Drosophila melanogaster: one gene and its partners. The protein of the gene in region 1 interacts with the protein of each later gene in a pairwise test. Each region holds a gene or a part of one and is shown on either strand. Other genes may lie near its edges.

Region 1 (5,338 bases):
TCTTGTGGCTCCACACGCGCTATTCAACTGCAGTTGCACTTGTGCAATCTGCGCCTGAGCCTCGAGCATTTGCTTTCTTAGCTCCTCGGCCAGCATTTCGGTCAGGCCATAGTTGTTCTCCTCAATGCCTTGCTGTTGCATTTGTTGTTCCATTTGATCACAGGTATTCACTTGCTGAAGCTGCTGACAAGGATACACATTCTGCATCTGCGGCAGAACTTGCTGCTGCATCGACTGCTGCAAATTGTATGCAAATGCTTTGCCAGACTGCTGCTGCTCCTGACACTTGAGACATCCTTTTGGTTTCACATTGGGACAGGGTGGATTTCGTCCACAATTTCGTTGCTGTTGCTGGAAGCAAGATGGTTGCTGCTGCAAGCAAGATGGTTTCTGCTGCAAGCAAGATGGTTTCTGCTGCAAGCAAGATGGTTTCTGTTGAAAGCACGGTTGTTGCTGTTGAAAGCAAGGTTGTTGCTGCTGAGGACAAGATCGTTGCTGTCCAAACCAATTACCATTCTGTTGCTGCGGACAACCCGTGCACTTATTGCACCTCGAAATCGATGGCGGTTCGTTGTTCATGTTATCATTTTCACAATCGAGGCTGAGGAAATGTGCTTCGGTAACCTGGCAAGCGGTGACTATTTCCGCTTCACCCATAATTTGGTGTTCCTCATCGCATATGGTCACGATATTTCCGCAATTGGGGACGTCGGATTGAAACCATTGGCAAGTACCAGGACGATGTCGTGTGGGATACTCTCCTCGAAAGCAGGGAATTATCTTCGAGTTCGATGGCTTCGGTTCCGTTTCTGGTATACATTCTGTGGGCTTTTCTTCCTCTATTATAAAATTGGTTTTCGTTTCCGGTTTCAAGTTCTCATGCGTTTCCGGGATTGAATTATTTGTGTCTTTCACTTCTGTTTGCTTGTTTTCTTCGGTCAAACTCGGAACTCCGGAAGGTATCTTTTCGAACTCTTTTTCTCTGGCCTTGGCGACGGATGCCTCACTAACCAGCTCTGGTATCTTATTGAACTCTTCTTCCCTGCTTTTTGCCTTCACTGTGGGGGATTCATTGCGACGTTTGGCTGAGGCCATCATAGACTGACCAGGAGTCTTTGAATTGGGTGGATCTCCTCCCAACACTGGTTTCACCGGCATACCCGCCTTCAATCGAACCGATGCCTTGGGCTTACTGTGCGACATCAATGGCACAAACTCTGGACTTCCCATCGATCTGCAGACACTTGCCTGCCGGCGACGACGAGGTGTTGGTGGGCAGGATGATCGGGAACGCACGGCTTCCTGTCCAGACGGTAAGCTCTGAGCCAGGGCTCGCACCAGCTGCTGTCCGACTCGATTGCTGTATTGCTCCGATGCTATGTTCCTCCTCGGAGGAGGACTCGCATGACGCCAATAGGGACTGGGCCTGGTTGACTTGACTCCGTCATTGGGCATTTCTTCTTTTTTCCCAAATACAATTTTTTGTCTCAGTTATACAATGCTTCCGTTTAAATTTGTTTTTTGGCGTGACAAAGAATTTTGTAATGTCATTTTTTTGACCAAAACTAAAAAGAGAGTTTTGGTCGACATAAATAGTAAGTTAAATAAACCAAGGAAGTCTTTTTGTTTACAAGGTTTCTCTTATATTCATATCATATTATAATCTGTAAAGAACACATATATGAAGATGGTAGCACCACTTTCAAAACGTTGTTTTATCACAACTGATCATGCAATGATTTTAACAATATAGTCTTAGTTTAGGACATCAAAAATATAAATTGTACCATTTACTTCTACTTTTTTATGATTTTGACTACCGATGTTATGTTTGTGTACTCTTCGTAATTGACCATGAGTGAAGGTGGACTTTTAAACAGAACCAGGAGTTGAAAATGTGCGATCCATGTCGATATTTAAGGAGGTGCATAAGCTGCCATGGCAATGGCTGGTAAGTATAAGAATATAGTTAGTGTCTCAACCCAATTGCATTTATACTCATCCGCAGGTGCTGTCCTCGACCAAGTTGCTGTGAGCGATCTTGTTCCTCTAATATGAGGAATTGTCGCGTCGTGTTTTCTGGGGAGTTCCAAAAGTTTTCGGACATGGTGCCGCCCAGTTTTCTTCTAAAGACGCCAGAGCGCCCAAAGAAAAGGAAACGATCGAAAAGTTGCTCAGCCTGTGGGGACAATTGTAAGGATCCGTGTTTAAACATGGATGCATGTGCGGAGAGTTGTGAGAATCCATGTCAAGATGGTAAGAATGGATGCAAGAATCCTGAAGATTGCGCGCAAGACGATCTAGCTAGAACTGGAGCCTACGGAACAGGCTTTGGCTTCCAACCGGGACAACCGACTATTATTCCGTGTTATGGAACTTACGGACCGACAGGAAATCCAATGATTTTTGGTATCCCGCCACCGACTCAATATGGAGGCTTTGGTGTACCTGGTCCCATAGTTCTACCAGTGGCTCCACCATCCTCGGTAGGTCAGGGTGATCCAAGATCTATTCCAGCGGCAGGTCTACCCACACAGTACACAAATAAGTTTAATCCCTGTACCGGAGAAGTCTACCAATGCGGAGATCGCCAAATGCCACCTGGAAGGCCACAAGGAACGGCGCAAGTACCTTCCTATAATCAATTTATACAGGGTTTAGGCATGAGCTGTGCCCCCAATAGTCAGTATATTCCATTCGATGCAACATTCCAACAACGTCCAATAAATCAAATGCCAGTCACTCCTACCTCAGGAGGAAGTGCACCAGCTTATGGCCGAAATAATCAACCAATGAACTGTGAGCCCAACAATCAGAATTATAGCTATACTGTTCCCCAATCAACGAATCAAGTTCATGTTGGTGCTAACAGATCTGAAGTCTATAACCAGCAGAGTCAAGCCACACATTCAAGGCCAGTTCCCCAATTGGAGTCATCAAAGGGGCAACTGCCTCATGGTAACAACAGATCTAAATCTCCAAATCAACGAAGCCCATCTAGGGGAGATCGATCAGGCAGAGCTTATGCCAATAATAATTTTCCTGAAAATGTTCATGCTAGTCCAGGTGCTCAGAGGTCCAAGTCGCTCAGTCACCGAAATGAGTCGAGGGAAGGTCGTTCCGGAAAACCACAAGCCAGTAGAGCCACAACCAATTATCATTCTAATAGTGGTGGAGATAGAAATGTAGATCATAGGTCCGCGCCCAAGTCAATGGCATCCGCTGGTGAAGTGCGTTCTCGTGATAACAACAGATCGTACGATTCAAGAAATCGTAATAAATCTGTAGGAGCACCTACCAATCGACAACCCGTACTTTATGACCAGCAGAGGGTGGGCATGGGCATTGATCCATCCAATCAGTATTATCCGTACAATGAATGCGCTCCACTTAATGCCACATTTGTCCAAGACCATAATCCTTTTTATGCTCAGCCAGGACATGACGTGAATAGAACGCAAGCAGCAAGTGCACCAAACTTATCGAAGGCAGGACCCAAAAAGGATAAAAATTCGAATAAAGTTCCATCAAGCTTTAAACCATCGAAGGAGAAATCCACTAAATGCTGCTGCACTCGGTTCGATCCCAACAATCAATACTATCCTCATTACGTTTCCGAAGAATCTGATTGTCCACCGGAAGAAAATGTGAACTCTGGAAAAAAGAAGACGCAGGAAAAGAATTGCCTTGAGCTTCTCAGCCGGTGAGTTTAATGTCAGAGTTCGTGAGCTATTACAGCTCTCGAATTAGGCTTACTCAATCCACCATTCGGCACACATCTTTAATCGAACACGAAGTAATGTCTTCCGTATCCATTGCAGCCTCACCGAGTCCTGTCCTCCGTGTGACCTGCAGAAGTGGTGTCACCTCCTGATGCCGAAGGACAAGGACAAGAGCAAAAAGCAAGCGAAACCGTCTGCCAAGAAGAATAAGAAATCGAATGGCTCAAAAGTCAAGAACAAGATGAGCGAGCACAGCAGCAACGAAATAGAAGGTACCGTAGCATCACCACAGGAAACACCAGAAGACGAGGATGCCCACTGCCCGTGTAACTGCAAGAAACCATGTCCAACGCCTCCGACAAAAGAAATGCGCACCTGCGGCTGCTCTGCCAATTTGCCTGAGTGAGTACCCACTTCTGTCCACTTCCATCAAGGAGTAATTAATGCGTTTCGCAGGGAAAACGAAGATCCTCCACCAGCACCCTCGAATCCTCCACCAGCACCCTCGAATCCTCCACCAGTACCCTGCAATCATGCTCCAGCTCCAGTAAATACCTGCTGCATGCCCTGCTCGAACCAATGTCCTTGGTCCTGGTACTATAATCCCTGCACCGGCTGTTACTACTACTGCGCGAATTGCTGCAATGGCTGTCGTAATTGCTGCAATTACTGCTGCAGTCCGTGCGGTTGCTGTTGCAGCAACTCCCCTGCTGCTCAGCTGGAGAAGATTCCTCCGAAGCCGAAGCAAAAGGAAAGGCAAGACAGATCGTCCAATAGCACGCGAAATTCCGGCGGCACGGCTGTGAGTTTGGGAAGCTGTGCTCCGCCTTCTACGTTTGCACCCTGGAAATGCCCAAGGCAAGAGGTTTCAACCATGCCGGGCTATTCTCCGACTGCCTCGCCACACTTCAGCTCTCCATACAGTGGGCGGTGGAAGGCTGGCTGTGTGGATAGTCATCGGAACTATCAACGGAATAACCAAGGTCCTCCTTTCAACATCGGCCGCGTGCACCATGTCTAAATTAAACGTTGAATATTTTTTACATTTTCACACAAGCCTATCTCAAAATAAAGAACATTTTGGAATGCACTTTTCTCTTCCTTTTTAATTGTTTATAATTTAAAAACAGGCATATTTCTACGATTTTCCTTAGTACTTTTTATTAGTTCAAATCGGTATTTTGTTTCTTTTTCATTTTATACACTCTTTTATGTGTTTCTCTCTTTTGTATACCATATACATATATAGATTTTTTCGAAAGTTTTGTGGGCTTTGCTTGTAGAAAAACTTAAAAAGTTTCTTTAAAATATAAATTTCTTGTCATAAAATTAAATACATCTTTAAAGTTGTTTTAGAAAAGACCTAACTAAAAACTATGAACATAGCACATTGTAAACATGTTTGTGTAGTGCAGCCATCAATATTGTATGGTATGTTTATAATATAATAATAGGGGAATATTAGATTGTTAAATAAGAAAATAGGCATTAAAACTACGGAGAAATTCTAGCACATGATATATGGATCTGGGTTCTCCCGCTTCCTCCTTTAAACATAGATTTAAACTGAGTTTGGCTTGCATATTGCCCTTTACGTTATGTAATGTGGTTTGCTT
Region 2 (5,994 bases), on another chromosome or scaffold:
CGGCCCAGGATCGGCTGAGATCAGCGCCAGGAGCAGGCCCACCAACAGCAGGGCCATCAACTGCAGACGTAACATCCTCATCCTGACGGATCAAAGAGTATGTGTGTACCGCTCGAAAGGCCGTTCCAATCAGAACTGGCGCTGGTCAGCGCTGGAGTCGCCTGCCTGTACTCCAACGGAGTGGTGCCACGCGGGCCTGGGCGTCGCGGATTAAGTGCCCCCCCAAAGTCAACTAGTTAGACGGGTTAGCTGCGACCGTCCGCCTGGATCTCGTAATCGCAGACCCCGCCGACTGCCGGCGGTTATCAACGAGTTCAGTGCGTGGCAACAATTACTTTTGCACTACTTTTGCGCCAGTTTATAGATCGTAAGTGCAGCTCGAACTATGCATAATGCTTAGCGGCGAGTGCATTTTAAGAGGCTAAACAACACGCACCGTGGGACTAGAACTCCATATACCCACCTATATATATACCATACATACACATAGCATATACCATATAGTAGAGCTGCCTCCAACATAAGGGATTGATATACACAAGGGAACTAACTATCTGCAAGCTCATTAAGTATCTATACTATTTAGATTGTTCTGTGTCGAGTACGAATCTACATGTTTTAAAACCCTAACAAAATATCAATAATTCACAGATAAGTTTCCCATAAGATAGGGAAATCATTCATAGATTGCTTGTTTTATAATTGTAAACTCAAGTGGTTATATACCATATACAAACGTATGTATGTACATACTACCAATTTCACTTGAACTTGTGTCAAATCTCATTCCTCAAAACAGTTCAAATGTTCAACAATGAAGATTATCTGAATATTATAGGTGTATTCGATTGGGAAAGATTTTACGAACAGTGGGCGCTTACTAATTCGTTGACTAATTCGTCAAGTTTGTACCACTGTGCCGAAAAAGAGGGGCTGTCACGATTTGCTCTCATAATAATATGAATTTCAATTTCGGTTTGGCTGCGGCTGTTGCATTTGATTTTCAAGATATATTTAATCATTTCCAGAGTAATTAACAGCTTTTGGTTTTTCAAGCATTGGCGCAACTGGACAATGGTTAGCAACTCTCGTTTGCAATTCGCATTCGCATCGGAATTGGGTGAAAAACCAGTTTAGACCTTCGATTTTCCGAAAGTTTTGACCAAAGTTTTGACACTTGCTGCCTGAGTTCTGCATGTAAATTAGATTTTGACTGCTGTACCGGTTGTTCAGGTCTTTTCAAATAGGCAACTATGCATAATCTAATTTAAGTCATAGTTACTTATATACATATATAAAAGTACCATTCAAAACACTAACTTTCGCGTTGGCAATGCTGGGTATCTGATAGTCGGTTCGGTTGCATTTGGCGTTCCTTCTCGCTGTAACCTTGATGTATTGCTGTTGCATAACCAAAAAATGCGAATCTGGTCCAAAATTCATACGAAAACCAGTCGGTGCCACACCCCTCCACTTTTGGCTGGGAACCTAGACGAAAGTGAAAACTCGTTCGAATTTCCATTTTCCAGCAAAAGCTGGGAAAACCTGGAAAACACAGGATATCGAGAAATAAGTATTGCATGTCAAAATCAAAAACTGGACAAATCTCTGTCCCGAAAAATGTCGGAATTGCAGACACAAAAAAAAAAAAAAACGACAGACAACTGAGCAACAATTTGCTGAACATTTCGTTTGAATACCATTAGTCATGTTGTATGGAAAGCCAAATCGCCTTTTAATCAGCAGCTAAGTTAAGTTAAGTATTCTCGGGAAATTCGACAAGGTAGAGATGCTACCGAAACAGCCAAATCCAGCGGCTTATCTTTCCGGGTATTCATCCGAATCGCAATAGTATTAGCCACGTTAAGAGTTCGCTGCCCTGATTACCAAGGGTAGCTATGCCTCCGATTATTGGTAACTATTCTATTGTCGGAGGCGCAGATAATGAGATAATGAATTCTCGATTTCGAATGGGAAATGCACAGCAGGATTTGCCTGTGTATAAATGGGCCAGGGAAGGGTGATTCGCTAAACAGTCGTAAACTAGGAGCTCCAGGCGAAAGATGATCAAGCTATTGGCTATATTGCTTGCCATGGGAATGGCGATGGTCCAAGGAGCGCTGCCGACCCAACTATCAAATAATCAATGGACACAACACGATGTGTCCTCCATGGCGGATTACGAACGGCTCCTGGATCTGCGCTCCCTGGCAATGGAGTTCTATCGCGAATTTCGGAACATTTCAACGGCGGATGTGCATCTTCTGGGTGAGCGGATTGGATCACAAGATCTACAGTGCCTGGCCGATATGGCCCAGTTTATGAGTGCGCTTAGTGCGCCCAAGGCGTGGGCCCTAAAAAGTGGGTATTACAACATCTTCAACTTTGATGCCATTTGAGTTTATCCCTTCTATGCGAAGTGCTCGACGCGTGGGGCACCATTCCATCGGGATATCTCATTGGCAACCGCGTCGACATGGGCAACTACAGGGAGTGCCTGTCCGAGGGCGGAATGCTCACCTCATCGCAGGACATCCAGGGAAAGTACTGCTTCATGGAGCTGCCGGTTGCCAAGTGGTTGGGTTTCACTTCTGAGCTGCTGGCGGTGACCAACATAAGGACTGCTGTGTGCCTGCCTTCCTCTTGCTCGGCGGGCACCATGGAGCTGTTCCTCAAGCAACTGCTCAAGCGGCTGCTTGGCGTCAGTGATCCGACCAATTTGTTTTCCATCAGCGAGACGTCGTGCAGAATCAAGGAGAAAGCACCCTGGGATGGGCTCACCATATTCACAGTGTGAGTAGTGTCTTGATACATCCTAGCTGATCTATCCATACTAACTGACTACCATCAGCGTTCTACTGTCCGTATTTGGTGTCACGGTTATCCTGTGCACCCTCTACGACTACTTCTTGTGTCCGGAGCAGGGTAAGTAGCTGACATAAATCGGATAACAGCCTATATGTATGTATATGTACCATATATCCATGTCTACCCGCAGAAAAGCTACCCCGTCCCATCGGCGCCTTCTCAGCCCGTGCCACTTCGCGTTCGCTGTTCACCATTGTGGAGAACACGGCGAATCCGAATGTAATCCACTGTCTCAATGGCATGCGGTGCATGTCCCTGATCTGGGTAATCTTGAGCCATGAGTACATTATCAACATGAAGGGTCCCGCCATCAATCCAGCGGACAACCTGCGATGGGCGACGCAACTCTTCTCGAGCTTCATACTCTACGGTACCTTGTCGGTGGACACGTTCTTCTTCATCAGCGGCTTGCTGCTGGTTTCAATTGGCCTGCGAAGCATAGAAAAGTGAGTCAACTTGTACAGGGATTAATCCGATCTGTAGGCAGGCTAACATTCTCAATGGCTCCAGAAACAAGGGAAAGCTAAATGTGCCGCTGATGTATCTGCACCGATATCTGCGCCTCACTCCGATCGTAGCCGTTGCCATACTGGCATTCTACAAGATGATACCCCTCATCGCAGACGGCCCAATGTACGATGATATCGGCTTTTTCGACTACTCCGGGTGCAAGATGACCTGGTACTGGACTCTGCTCTACGTGCAGAACTACGCAACATCCGATGTGGTGAGTTGAATGTCCAAGTTGATCAGGAGAGGTGGACAAGCCCATCTAGTCCGTCCGTATCAGGATGGATCTGTATCAACCTTATATACCTTAGAAGTTACAATAATTAAAAGTGTTTAGTGGCTTTACTGCGAATAGGAGATCACTTCGATAGATGGCGCCTGCAGCACTAGAATTGATCGTTGGCGCCATCTATGTAAGTTCGGTGGTACCATTGCCATTGCAGTTGGAGCTCTTGACTATATCTGTATATTTATCTATCTAATTATTTGATTGTTGGTTGCTCCTTAGTGCGTGCCGCATACCTGGTACTTGGCGGTGGACATGCAACTGTACATCCTGTCCCCGATCCTGCTGATCGCCCTCTACAAGTGGGGCAAGAAGGCGGCCGGAGGTATCCTGGTGGTCACTTTGTTGCTCTCCGCCTGCCTGTTTGCCACCATAATGGTGAATGACTTCCCTGTGATGTTCAAGTAAGCCAGTCGCGCCCGCCGTTTTGTGTCCCCCAATGCTAATTGCAATTACTAACAGGAATGGAATTCAGGCTCAGGTGGTTCAGAGGAAGATCTACACCGCTACGCATACCCATGCGGCGCCCTGGTTGGTCGGTACTATGTTCGGTTATCTCCTGCACCTGATGCGCGGCCGAAGATTCAAGTTAAGCCTCCTGGCTACCTGGGCAGGCTGGCTGCTCTGCCTGGCCCCGCTCTTCACCTCGATCTTCGCCTTGTATCCGTACTCCAAGCTGCTGGGCAAATCGCCCTCAGTGTTGCAGGGAGCCCTCTACTATACACTGGTCCGGATCGCCTGGCCCCTCGGTCTCTGCTGGGTGGTCTTTGCGTGCATGCAGGGCTATGGTAGTCTGGCCAACAGCTTCCTCTCCTCTCCACTTTGGCAGCCGTTGTCCAAGCTCTCCTACGGCGCCTACATCTGGCACATCTTTGTCGTGGAAGTCGCCAATAGAAGCGTTCAGACCAATACGTACTTCTCCAACTATCAAGTGGTAAGTGTGTGGCAGGCAGGGTCACTCGACATTCCTATTGGACTTGAACGCTTCATTTCCAACTCCATAGATGCTCAACTTTTGGTCCACCTTTGGCTTTACCCTGCTGATGTCCTACGTGCTCTACGTTTTAATTGAGGCGCCTCTGGAGGCCTTGGAAAGAATTATGTTTCCCAATCGCAGAAGCCCGCCAGCAGCAAAGGATCAGCTGCATATCGAGTCCCGAACGGAAGTCGTGGACCAGATGGACCAGATGGATCACATGGACGGGATGGATCAGGTGGTGCAGCACGAGAAGCGCAGTGATATCCAGCCTGACCTGGAAACGAGTGCCAACAAAACAGAGACTGACCTCGAGTTATCAAATTAGACTTATCAGCTCCTATTTAGCCTTTATTAAAACGAACTACTTGTAATCTAGGCACAATTAACTTAACCACGGGTCTAGAGTTACGATGGAATGAATGGTCCTTGAGTTGAAAAGTCTTGCACTTAAGACGATATCAGTCGTTATCTGGTTGCGACTTTTGCGACCAGGTGGGTTTCGAATTAGTCATGAAGGTGATTCCCGACTTTGGCTTGCTGTAATGGGCACACAAAGATTTCAATTCTGACTCACAGAGGCGATGCACGCCCCATTCAGTTACAGAAAAAAAGAAAAGAAACACAAAAAAAAAACAGAAGGAACGACTTTGTCTAGTGTCTCGACTATCAGATATGTATGCACCAAAGCGTTTACAAGTTTTTCAGTTTGATAAGAGCCAAATCTGTTGATAATTTACATTCCATAGATTACGTATTTGTATTTGTATACTTGACTTCCCCACTTTGCTGACCATGTGTCTTGACTTTCATCTGCGTAGTGACGAAATGCTATGTTTATAGTCAGGAAATTGGAGAATTTGCTCTGATAAAACGATAAAATCAATCGATTGACAAACCAATCGAAACGTATTTATTAACATTTTAAACTTGTATTTTGGATGCTTAAAGTGGGCGGGGCCAACATGTTGTGGGCAGATCGACAGAAATGGGCAAGCCAAATAATAAAAGTAGGCGTATCTGCGTTCATATGGATGGACATGGAAGTATCGACTCGTCCAGTGATTCTGATCAAGAATATCGGAATCGCTTACCGTACAATGAATTTCGAACACAGTTTTAATACTTTACGTAACGCATGAAATCATATATTTTAAATGTAATTATACTAAAACGTTGCTCTTTTCGGGAGCAGCCTGAATAACTTCGTCGGGTATCGTGGATATCGCTTCCGCAGGCTTACCTACTGGAGATTCTTCGACTGATGCCTTCACCTCCGACATCCTGGGCTCCACCACCGCGGCCGGCTTGGCATTTGGCCTCTTTGCGGGCAGCAAAAGGCTTTCCAGACCGG
Region 3 (4,455 bases), on another chromosome or scaffold:
AGGCTCCATCCGGAAGCTATATCAACGATTTCGATCCCAACATTGATCCATCGGTGCTGAATGAGCACGCGACGGCCGCTTTCAGATACTTCCATTCCCAGATTGAAGGTCGTTTGGAGTAAGTGCCTATTTACTATTATGAGTTAAGAACATTTTATTAATTTTAAAATTTTTGTGCAGTCTACTGTCCGAGCTGCGTCAAGTTCTCGGCTCTCTGACCCTCAGCGACTGGTTCAATCGTCCCGGTATTATTGAGGTTGGAGATAACTTTGATTCCCTGACCAGAGGACACGCCACGCAGCCCGAAGAGCTAACTGATATCAATTTTGACCGACAGGTGGGTACACAAATAACAAAATGAGACCACCTTTCTAACCTCTCAACCTTTCCTGGCTTAGATCAAGCACTTCCTGTTCAGAAGAAACATGCCCTTCGGTTCCGATCTGCGTTCCCTGGACATTCAGCGTAATCGCGATCACGGTCTGGCTTCCTACAATGACATGCGGGAATTCTGCGGACTGAGACGTGCCCACTCGTGGGAGGGATACGGTGATCTAATAAGTCCACCAATTCTGGAAAAACTTAAGTCGCTATACCCGAGCCACGAAGACGTGGATCTGACTGTGGGCGCCTCCTTGGAGGCGCATGTGGCCGGAGCTTTGGCTGGACCCACCTTCCTGTGTATCCTCACGGAACAATTCTACAGAACCAGAGTGGGCGATCGCTTCTTCTTCGAAAACGGAGACAAGCTCACTGGATTTACTCCTGGTAAAAAGAACATTTCTCCTCTGACTATTTTAAATATTAATTTATTTATGTCTAATTTCGTAGATCAACTGGAGGAGCTGAGGAAGGCCAGTATGGCTCGTTTGCTGTGCGACAATGGCAACCACATTTCATCCATGCAGCCCGAAGCTTTCCGGACTGTTTCCCATTCGTAAGTTTAAATTGATTAAATTGGTTATTTGGAAAGTAACTGAGCTCTGAAATTACAGGAATCCGATTATACCGTGCTCAAATATTCCACAAGTCGACCTCACCAAATGGATTGATCAAAAGCTATATGCCACTGTAGATCCGTCTCACTACGGAAAGAAGTAATCCGCTGCTGTGGGATCTATGCTTAACTAGTTGAATACAAATACATTTAGCTTAATCAATAACATAAACGTAAATGCAAAGCCCCTCCCCCCCCCCCCCCCCTTGTATGATAATGTCCCAAACTGATGTACAGAAATAAAGCCCTTACCATTTAAACAATCAGCTTTACTTTCAGTGACCTGATAATGTTTGTAAGATTTCACGGAAATGAAAAGAAGTCAAGGGCAAATCCCAATGCCATCCAGACCCGACCCCTTCTTATGCAATAGGCCCGGATAAAGAAATGCCGGGTCCGAAAACCTTTACACTTTCGTTGACTTTGGGATAGCTCCGATTCATCGGGGTTAATCATATGGAGACGCGCGACCGAGGTGTGAACAAGTTGATAGAAACGGCCAATTAAGAGACAAAACTCTTTTTTCTGCCATTTTTAAGTCATGGTTCATTCGAATCGTAAAGCGAAACAATCGGCAACAGAGAATGTGTTCTTTTTTGCATATGTCTTCTGTTTTCAAATGGAAGTTAACATATTAATACTTCAGAGGCGGTTCACTTTTGGATTGGACATAAATTTACATATATAAGTTTAGAGAGAACCCAGGATGATAGCATCATCGCGAACAGGTTTGCATATTTTCCGAGAGATTTGGCAAGCAGATTTCTGAATGGACATGATATAACGGTTCTAGTGAATCTAGATTAATGAAAGTGATTTAAACAAAGTGTGCATACAAGATTAAGAGTTCATAATGCGGTATAAAAGTGATCCGTCCGCCGGAGAAAGGCAGCAGATACCATTTCGCCATGAGGCTGTTCGCAGTGATTTTTTGGATAGGTAAGGAATATGATTCAAATAGGATGGATCTGATTTCTAATTGGGATTCATTTCCTTTCCAGGCTGGGCCTTTGGCCTAGCGAATTCCAAGAACCCGAGTGCCGAGACGGGCAGACTGATAGCATCTCTACAAGCTGCTCCGGCTCCGGCGCCAGCACAAAGTGTGATCTACAAGCTGCCACCACAGCACTACTATCCGCCACCACCGCCGCCGCCTCCGCCTCCGCCACAGCACTGCAATTGCCCGCCAGGTCCACCGGGGCCTCCTGGACCGCCGGGCTTACCAGGAACGCCTGGTCCGCAAGGTCCCAAGGGACACACTGGGTCCAAGGGCGAGCGAGGAGAGAAGGGAGAACGCGGTCACTACGGACTACCAGGCCAACCAGGTGAACCGGGACCTATTGGTCCACCGGGACTACCAGGCCCACCCGGTCACAAGTCGGGACATGGTCACCATGATCATCATGATCACCACCATCATCATCCAGCGCCACCGCCACCACCTCCACCTCCGCCTCCGCCGCCTCCACCACCACCACCACCACACTCACACCCGCATTCACATCATCCCCACCCGCCGATCGTGACGCCACCAATTATAGTTCCCATACCATTGCCACCGCAGAAAGGTGAACATGGTCACCATCATCACCACAAGGGATCCAAAGGTCCACCCGGACCTCCAGGCCCACCAGGTAAGAGAAAATCGTTACTCATATATATCACAACGCTCTAACAGTGAAAATATTGAAAGGATATATTATAAGTCATTTTCCAAAATTTTACTGAGTATTTAATCTCTTGCAGGAACGGGACCACCGGGTCCTCCAGGACCTCCAGGCACTACGTATCCACAACCCCCACCACCACCACCACCACCGCCACCTCCACCACCATCGTACCCATACCCACCGTACCCGTATCCACCACCTGGTCCTTATCCGGGACCATGGATTCCTCTGCCAGTGCCAGTGCCCTGGCCCTCAAAGGGACATAAGGGGGATAAAGGTCACAAAGGAGGTCATAAGGGAGACAAGGGCGGACACCACCATCACTATTATCCACCAGGACACGATAAGGGAGGCTACTATCCGTATCCACCCCACGGTGGCCATGGAGGCCATCACCATCCAGGCCACAATTATCCAGGCCCCTATCCGCCACCATATCCACCTCACCATCCACATGATGGCGGAGACAAGGGTTATCACCATTATCCACCCCACAATCACGGAGGGCACAATCACGGGGGACACAACAACCATCATCCACCTCACAATGGAGAGCACAACCATAATCATCCCCCTCACAATCACGGAGGACATGGCCACCATCATCCCTCACACAATCACGGAGGGCAGGACCCACATAATACACACCCCCACACTGGTACACACGGAAATGGAGGACACAGCCAAACTTCACACCACCAGCACCCCCATCATCATCAACCAAAACCCACTAAGCCAGAGGGTAGTGGCGAGCAAACTCCACGGGATGATCTGGACTTGCTAGATGAAAATGTGGAGATTGTCGAAAACATAATTGATGAAAATGATAACGAAAATAATTTCATGGAGGGCGAGGAGGAAATGTCCAATGAGCCCAATGACTTGGAGACGGAACCCGAGGATGCGGACTACGGCCTTGAATATGCAGATAACACAGTGGAGAATCCCGAATCTCCGAGTGGCGCTGAAGAAATCGATGATGAGGATTCAAGCTATATGGTACCAGAAGGAGATGATGCGATGGAAGAGGACCATATGATGGAGGACCAGATGGACCCAGTGAATATGATGGAGGATAACGCACCTATGGATGGAGATGCAATTGAGGAGCGAACCAACAAAGGTCCGATTATCCTGTCAATTGGAACTCCTCGAAATCCCTTTCACATTTACGCCTATGAACAGTATAATATATAAATAAGCCAACACCACGAGAAAATAAAAAAATAACATTAAAATATGAGTCTTTTATGGGTTTTCTAACAATTTAAAAATACTACTTTTTGGGTTTCATTTAGAGATTTTGATACAGTTAATAAAATTTAAATGTTTAATAATAAACAAAAGCAGTGAACCTCTGTAGATTTCCGTATTAATAAGATCATCTCGCAGAATTCGTATAGCAAAAAATTTAAATGTATAAACAATAAACTGCGTTATTGTTAGCTGTCAAAATAGTTCCGTTGTTCTTGGAAATGTCTGCGGCTTTGTTAGATTTTCTATAAAATAACAATGGACAAAGATATGAAAAAAGTGAAATCATATTGAAATAAGCTATTAATTCAATGACAATCGAATGAAATTGCCAACTCAAATCATTTATCAAAATACAATGGTAAATTGTTGAATCTTATCAGCTAGGCAAGTAAAATTGTTTGTAATATATGTATTTAACTTTTGGCAGATATGAAATTAATAAGTTCAAATGTTTTCAGGTATTAGGTTGATTAAATTCATTAATAAATTTCTTTGTCCATAAATTAGTTTTGTACGACTTTTTAAAGCATG
Region 4 (4,033 bases), on another chromosome or scaffold:
TTGGCCGGAACTGGAATGCCAGGTTACCGGCCACACGCAGGCCCAAAAAAGTTGCCTCTTGGCGGTCAGCGGCAAATAATCAATGCATCGATTTTATTCGACTATATATTTATAGTTAATTAATGCCAATTGTTCTTGGCGTGGTCTTTTGAGAACTTGCAAAAAGTTGGCAGCAAGGCTATTAAGTACTGTAGTTTTATTATTAAGTAAATTTAAAGGTAAACCGAATAAAATGATAGCATGGTAGTACAATTGGAAAATGTGTTCTTAATGGAATTAAAAAGATTACAACAGTCTTCAAATAATAAATATTTAAATATCGCTGTTGAAGGTTGTGTCACTAAACGATCAGCCTAAATGTATGCAACGATTTTGTTAACAAATGTAAAATGCTTAGGTAAGTGTAAAATTCATCGCTTCTAAATAAATAAATATATAAAAAGGTAAGTGTAAAATGTAAAATGTAAGCTTGTGCTGATAAATATATGTATATAATGCTCCCTAATATTTTTGTAACAAAACAGCGGAGATAATTTTAATAAATTATGATTAATTCATACAGGGAATTCCCGATTCGAGACCCGTTCCCTGAGGCACCCTCCTATCTGGAAATGGTAATCGCTGTGCTGTGGCCAACACTTAATTGCACTCACTTATTTATTCATTATGGAATATGCACAGAAGGCGTTGGACCAGCCGAACCGACCCATTGGACACTCCTACTACTCACACAATTCGGTGCACCAGCTTGTGCTGCACCACGGCCACCGAGTCGATGTCGATGCAGTTACCCAGTATGCCGTCGAGTGTTGCCGCGTCCACGTATGCCGGAGCTCGCCAAAGGACTATGACTGACACTGATGCTGCTACTGCTACTGCTGCTCCGGTGGCTGGTGCGTGGGCCACTCTATGCGGTGATGGAATCTGTCTCAGCTGTCCCAACTTGCCGACGACTCTGTTCACCGATGTATCCGCTATCTGACTTTTCCAATTTCCAGAGCATGTTGTCTCGCCAGCGTTGTCGTCGCTGTCTTTGGGCGCATTTGTTTTCGTTTAGTTTTCATAACGAACGTTGCCATGGACGACAGTCCGCCTCAGTGTTCACCTGGTCGAAAAGGACTGGTGGCTGATGTGGGTTGGGTGGTGGGGGGAGGTGCTCGTTGGCGGTCCCGAAAACTCAGCCAAAATGCTCACATTCGTGTCTAAAATTATATGTCTACATTATGTGCCAAGCTATGCTTTTCCTTTTATTGATTGCCAACAGATTTTCCAATTCAGAGCACCTGATTAAGTTGACTGAGTGGTGGGGGGTGTTTTGATTGGCATCACTTGAAACTCAACGTGTTTGCATCAAACATTTTTCGACAGTCACGACTTCATCGCGTGCTTGACATTTCTTAGGGCCACTCAAGGACACGGCCGGCACAGTGGTAATTAGCCAGGACATAAATGTTTCACGTGACGGTGTCCCACGGCCAAGGCATCTTCTACCTGAACCCTTACAAGCAGGTAAGGTATGGAAAATTGCTTTGTGTTAGGGATTAGAAAAGAAGTGGGATCTTTAGGATTCCCAGAATTTGTGACATTAATTGCAAAACAAGGACTAAAATGGCCGAACTAGACGAGGCTTTAAAAGAATCGATCGTGTCTGGGCCAGGATCAGTTGTTTTTCCACACCCAAGCGAAGATGAAGTACCTCAAAGACTGCAGTTTCCATGTCCTGTTGGTTCTGCTGCTAATGATCCGTGGATCGCTTTGTGTGCCAGCTTTGGACGCAGCTCCTCCGGCTGCCACACCCAACACCGTGGAAGAGTCGGAAAATCTGGTCGAGGGCAGTGGCGAACCAGTTGTCGCACCCACAGACGTGGTACCTGCAGCCAGCAATGGTACCACTCCTCCGGCTGAAGGAAACTCGGAAGCAGCGGTGGTAAGTTTTATATACAATTTTACTGTGTTATATTTATAATAATCTAATAATTCCATCCTGATATAATAGCCAGACAACGTGGCCAGTGGTAGCAGCATTGATCCCACCACCATTTACGCTGGAGGCCTACTCACTCCCGAGGCCTTTCAGCAGTACCTGAGTCAGTATGGAGCGTATGCTCCTTACTCCTATCCTGCTCCTGTTGCGGGAACAGCAGCTGGCATTTACCCGTACCCTGGACCCATTGTGGTGCAGACGGGCTACGAGGGATTCCTGGTGCCCACTAATACCGCAGGACAATCGGACAGCACCACTGTCCTGGCTCCCACTGCCCAGCCCAACTCCTCGAATCCACTGATGACATTTGTCTCCAATCTTCTGCCCACGATCCTGATGTCCACGCTCTTTCGCATCGCTGCCGTTGTGGTTTCCGCCGTGGGCATCATCCTCTTTGGCGGTGCCATCACCAGTGCCCTGTGCAGGATCACTCCAATCTGTGAAATACCCGCCCGTGCTGTGAATATCCTGCGGACGGGTGGTGCCCAGGATGTGGGTCGCATGCTGGCCGAGGAGATGACTCCGGAACGAGTGCGTCGGGCAACGGAATTCGTGCGCAACGCCATCCGGAAGTACAAGCAACTGCAGAAGCTGGTGGAGGCATCGGAGGCGGTGACCGAGTTGACCAACTAGGGATGGCGCAATGGGTGTAGGTTTAGTGCTGGCTCGTAAATTAGGTGGAATGCAAAATATACTTTTAATGATGCTATAAAACATGATTTCACTTTTTTCTGTCGCAAGGGGTTCTTAAAAGGTGTTGAGATTTTGTGTTGCAAATTTGTTAGTGAAATATATAAACACGATTCAAAAAATGGTTCGCAAAAAGTGTTTACATACACGACTTATGATATAATCGTTTGATTTGTCTATTGATTATTAGCTTTAAATTGTTTTGGAACTTCTGTGGCAACCCTCTGGTGGATTTGTTGGCGCACAATGACCAATGAGAAGTATGTGTGCACTTGCATATGTAGTTTGTAACCGCTCAATGCCACAAGCAGCACGTTTGTTAGCTAACTGAACTCGCGATTGTTCTAATAGTTGGTCGGTCAATGGCCCAAGTGGCTTGTGGATCCCTCGAGGGGCGAAAAGGGGTCCAAGTGGATTTATATGTACCCCAGTGAAATCATCGCGTGCATTCAACTGCGGTGTTGAAATCGCAATTGGCAATTGTCGTGTGGCACTCGCGGAATTTACAGAGCTACAGAAACACAATCTCACTTTTATGAACCATGACAGAGATTGGAATTTTAAATATAAGTGGAGGCTGATTAGTGTGATCAGGACAAAACTACTGTTGCATAATCGCTTTTATCATTTATATAAATTTTTATCATTTTAGTGGGACGAACTACTTAAATATTTAAAATACGATTAAAAAATAATAATAAAAATAATAAGGGTACCGCCTATCAACATTTCAAGCCGAAAAGCAAAAGTAATTAATATTTGCTGATAAGAGAGTGAACAAATAAATGCCTTTCGTTTGTTTTATAAGAAACCCCCATATATGGAGCAGCTTTTCAACAAGAAATGAAAGCTTTGTTTGTTTGAGATAATAATTTATTATCACGGTGCTCATAACAATGCGATTTATTTGTTTAACTACAATACAATATAACCATGTTTGGCAATAATTTGCCGAGGTATGTGGTATGTTGGGCATTTACTGCAGACATTCTCATCAAATCATTCATTCCTCTCCTGGACAAGTTTCTTGATTAGCTGTACACCGTCCCAGTTCTCTTCCCAACCGGGAGTCACTTCCTTGGCATTCTCGTACCACCTGGCCACATTTGGATACTGGGCTATATCGAAGTCCACCACCTCAAAGGTGGAAACGGAGGCCAACAGGGCAATGTCGGCAATGGTGAGGCAGTCGCCAGCCACATACTCCTGGTCCTCCAGGAAGGTGTCCAGGTGGCCAAAGGCGCTGTCCACTTTCTGCATGGCCTCTGGATCGGCGGGATGATTATTCCTTATCTGTGGATAGATGGCCTCGACGAAACTCTGAAACAGGGTGCCCATGTCGAAGTAGAGCCTCTGATT

The links.
Region 2: the proteins of CG17666 (region 1) and CG14204 interact in a two-hybrid assay, tested with the Drosophila melanogaster proteins (one large-scale study listed by BioGRID).
Region 3: the proteins of CG17666 (region 1) and CG5225 interact in a two-hybrid assay, tested with the Drosophila melanogaster proteins (one large-scale study listed by BioGRID).
Region 4: the proteins of CG17666 (region 1) and CG10035 interact in a two-hybrid assay, tested with the Drosophila melanogaster proteins (one large-scale study listed by BioGRID).

What each region holds. Positions count from the first base shown.
Region 1 is NT_037436.4:12,779,567-12,784,904, forward strand, and holds CG17666 (uncharacterized protein), read left to right. Parts: upstream 1-1,758; 5' UTR 1,759-1,895; coding exon 1,896-1,951; intron 1,952-2,008; coding exon 2,009-3,703; intron 3,704-3,737; exon of another isoform or gene 3,738-3,821; coding exon 3,822-4,124; intron 4,125-4,178; coding exon 4,179-4,743; 3' UTR 4,744-4,811; downstream 4,812-5,338. Other genes in the region: CG10969 (uncharacterized protein), read right to left, coding at 1-1,455.
Region 2 is NC_004354.4:19,581,579-19,587,572, forward strand, and holds CG14204 (uncharacterized protein), read left to right. Parts: upstream 1-2,038; 5' UTR 2,039-2,063; coding exon 2,064-2,361; intron 2,362-2,420; coding exon 2,421-2,793; intron 2,794-2,851; coding exon 2,852-2,925; intron 2,926-2,998; coding exon 2,999-3,314; intron 3,315-3,378; coding exon 3,379-3,595; intron 3,596-3,886; coding exon 3,887-4,068; intron 4,069-4,126; coding exon 4,127-4,598; intron 4,599-4,668; coding exon 4,669-4,968; 3' UTR 4,969-5,479; downstream 5,480-5,994. Other genes in the region: CG14218 (uncharacterized protein), read right to left, coding at 1-81; CG14219 (uncharacterized protein), read right to left, coding at 5,804-5,994.
Region 3 is NT_033777.3:17,026,801-17,031,255, forward strand, and holds CG5225 (uncharacterized protein), read left to right. Parts: upstream 1-1,892; 5' UTR 1,893-1,905; coding exon 1,906-1,936; intron 1,937-1,998; coding exon 1,999-2,631; intron 2,632-2,743; coding exon 2,744-3,864; 3' UTR 3,865-3,901; downstream 3,902-4,455. Other genes in the region: Pxd (peroxidase), read left to right, coding at 1-118, 181-337, 399-768, 832-937, 996-1,101.
Region 4 is NT_033777.3:12,380,315-12,384,347, reverse strand, and holds CG10035 (uncharacterized protein), read left to right. Parts: upstream 1-1,656; 5' UTR 1,657-1,687; coding exon 1,688-1,927; intron 1,928-1,996; coding exon 1,997-2,617; 3' UTR 2,618-3,479; downstream 3,480-4,033. Other genes in the region: GstD11 (glutathione S transferase D11), read right to left, coding at 1-1; GstD8 (glutathione S transferase D8), read right to left, coding at 3,674-4,033.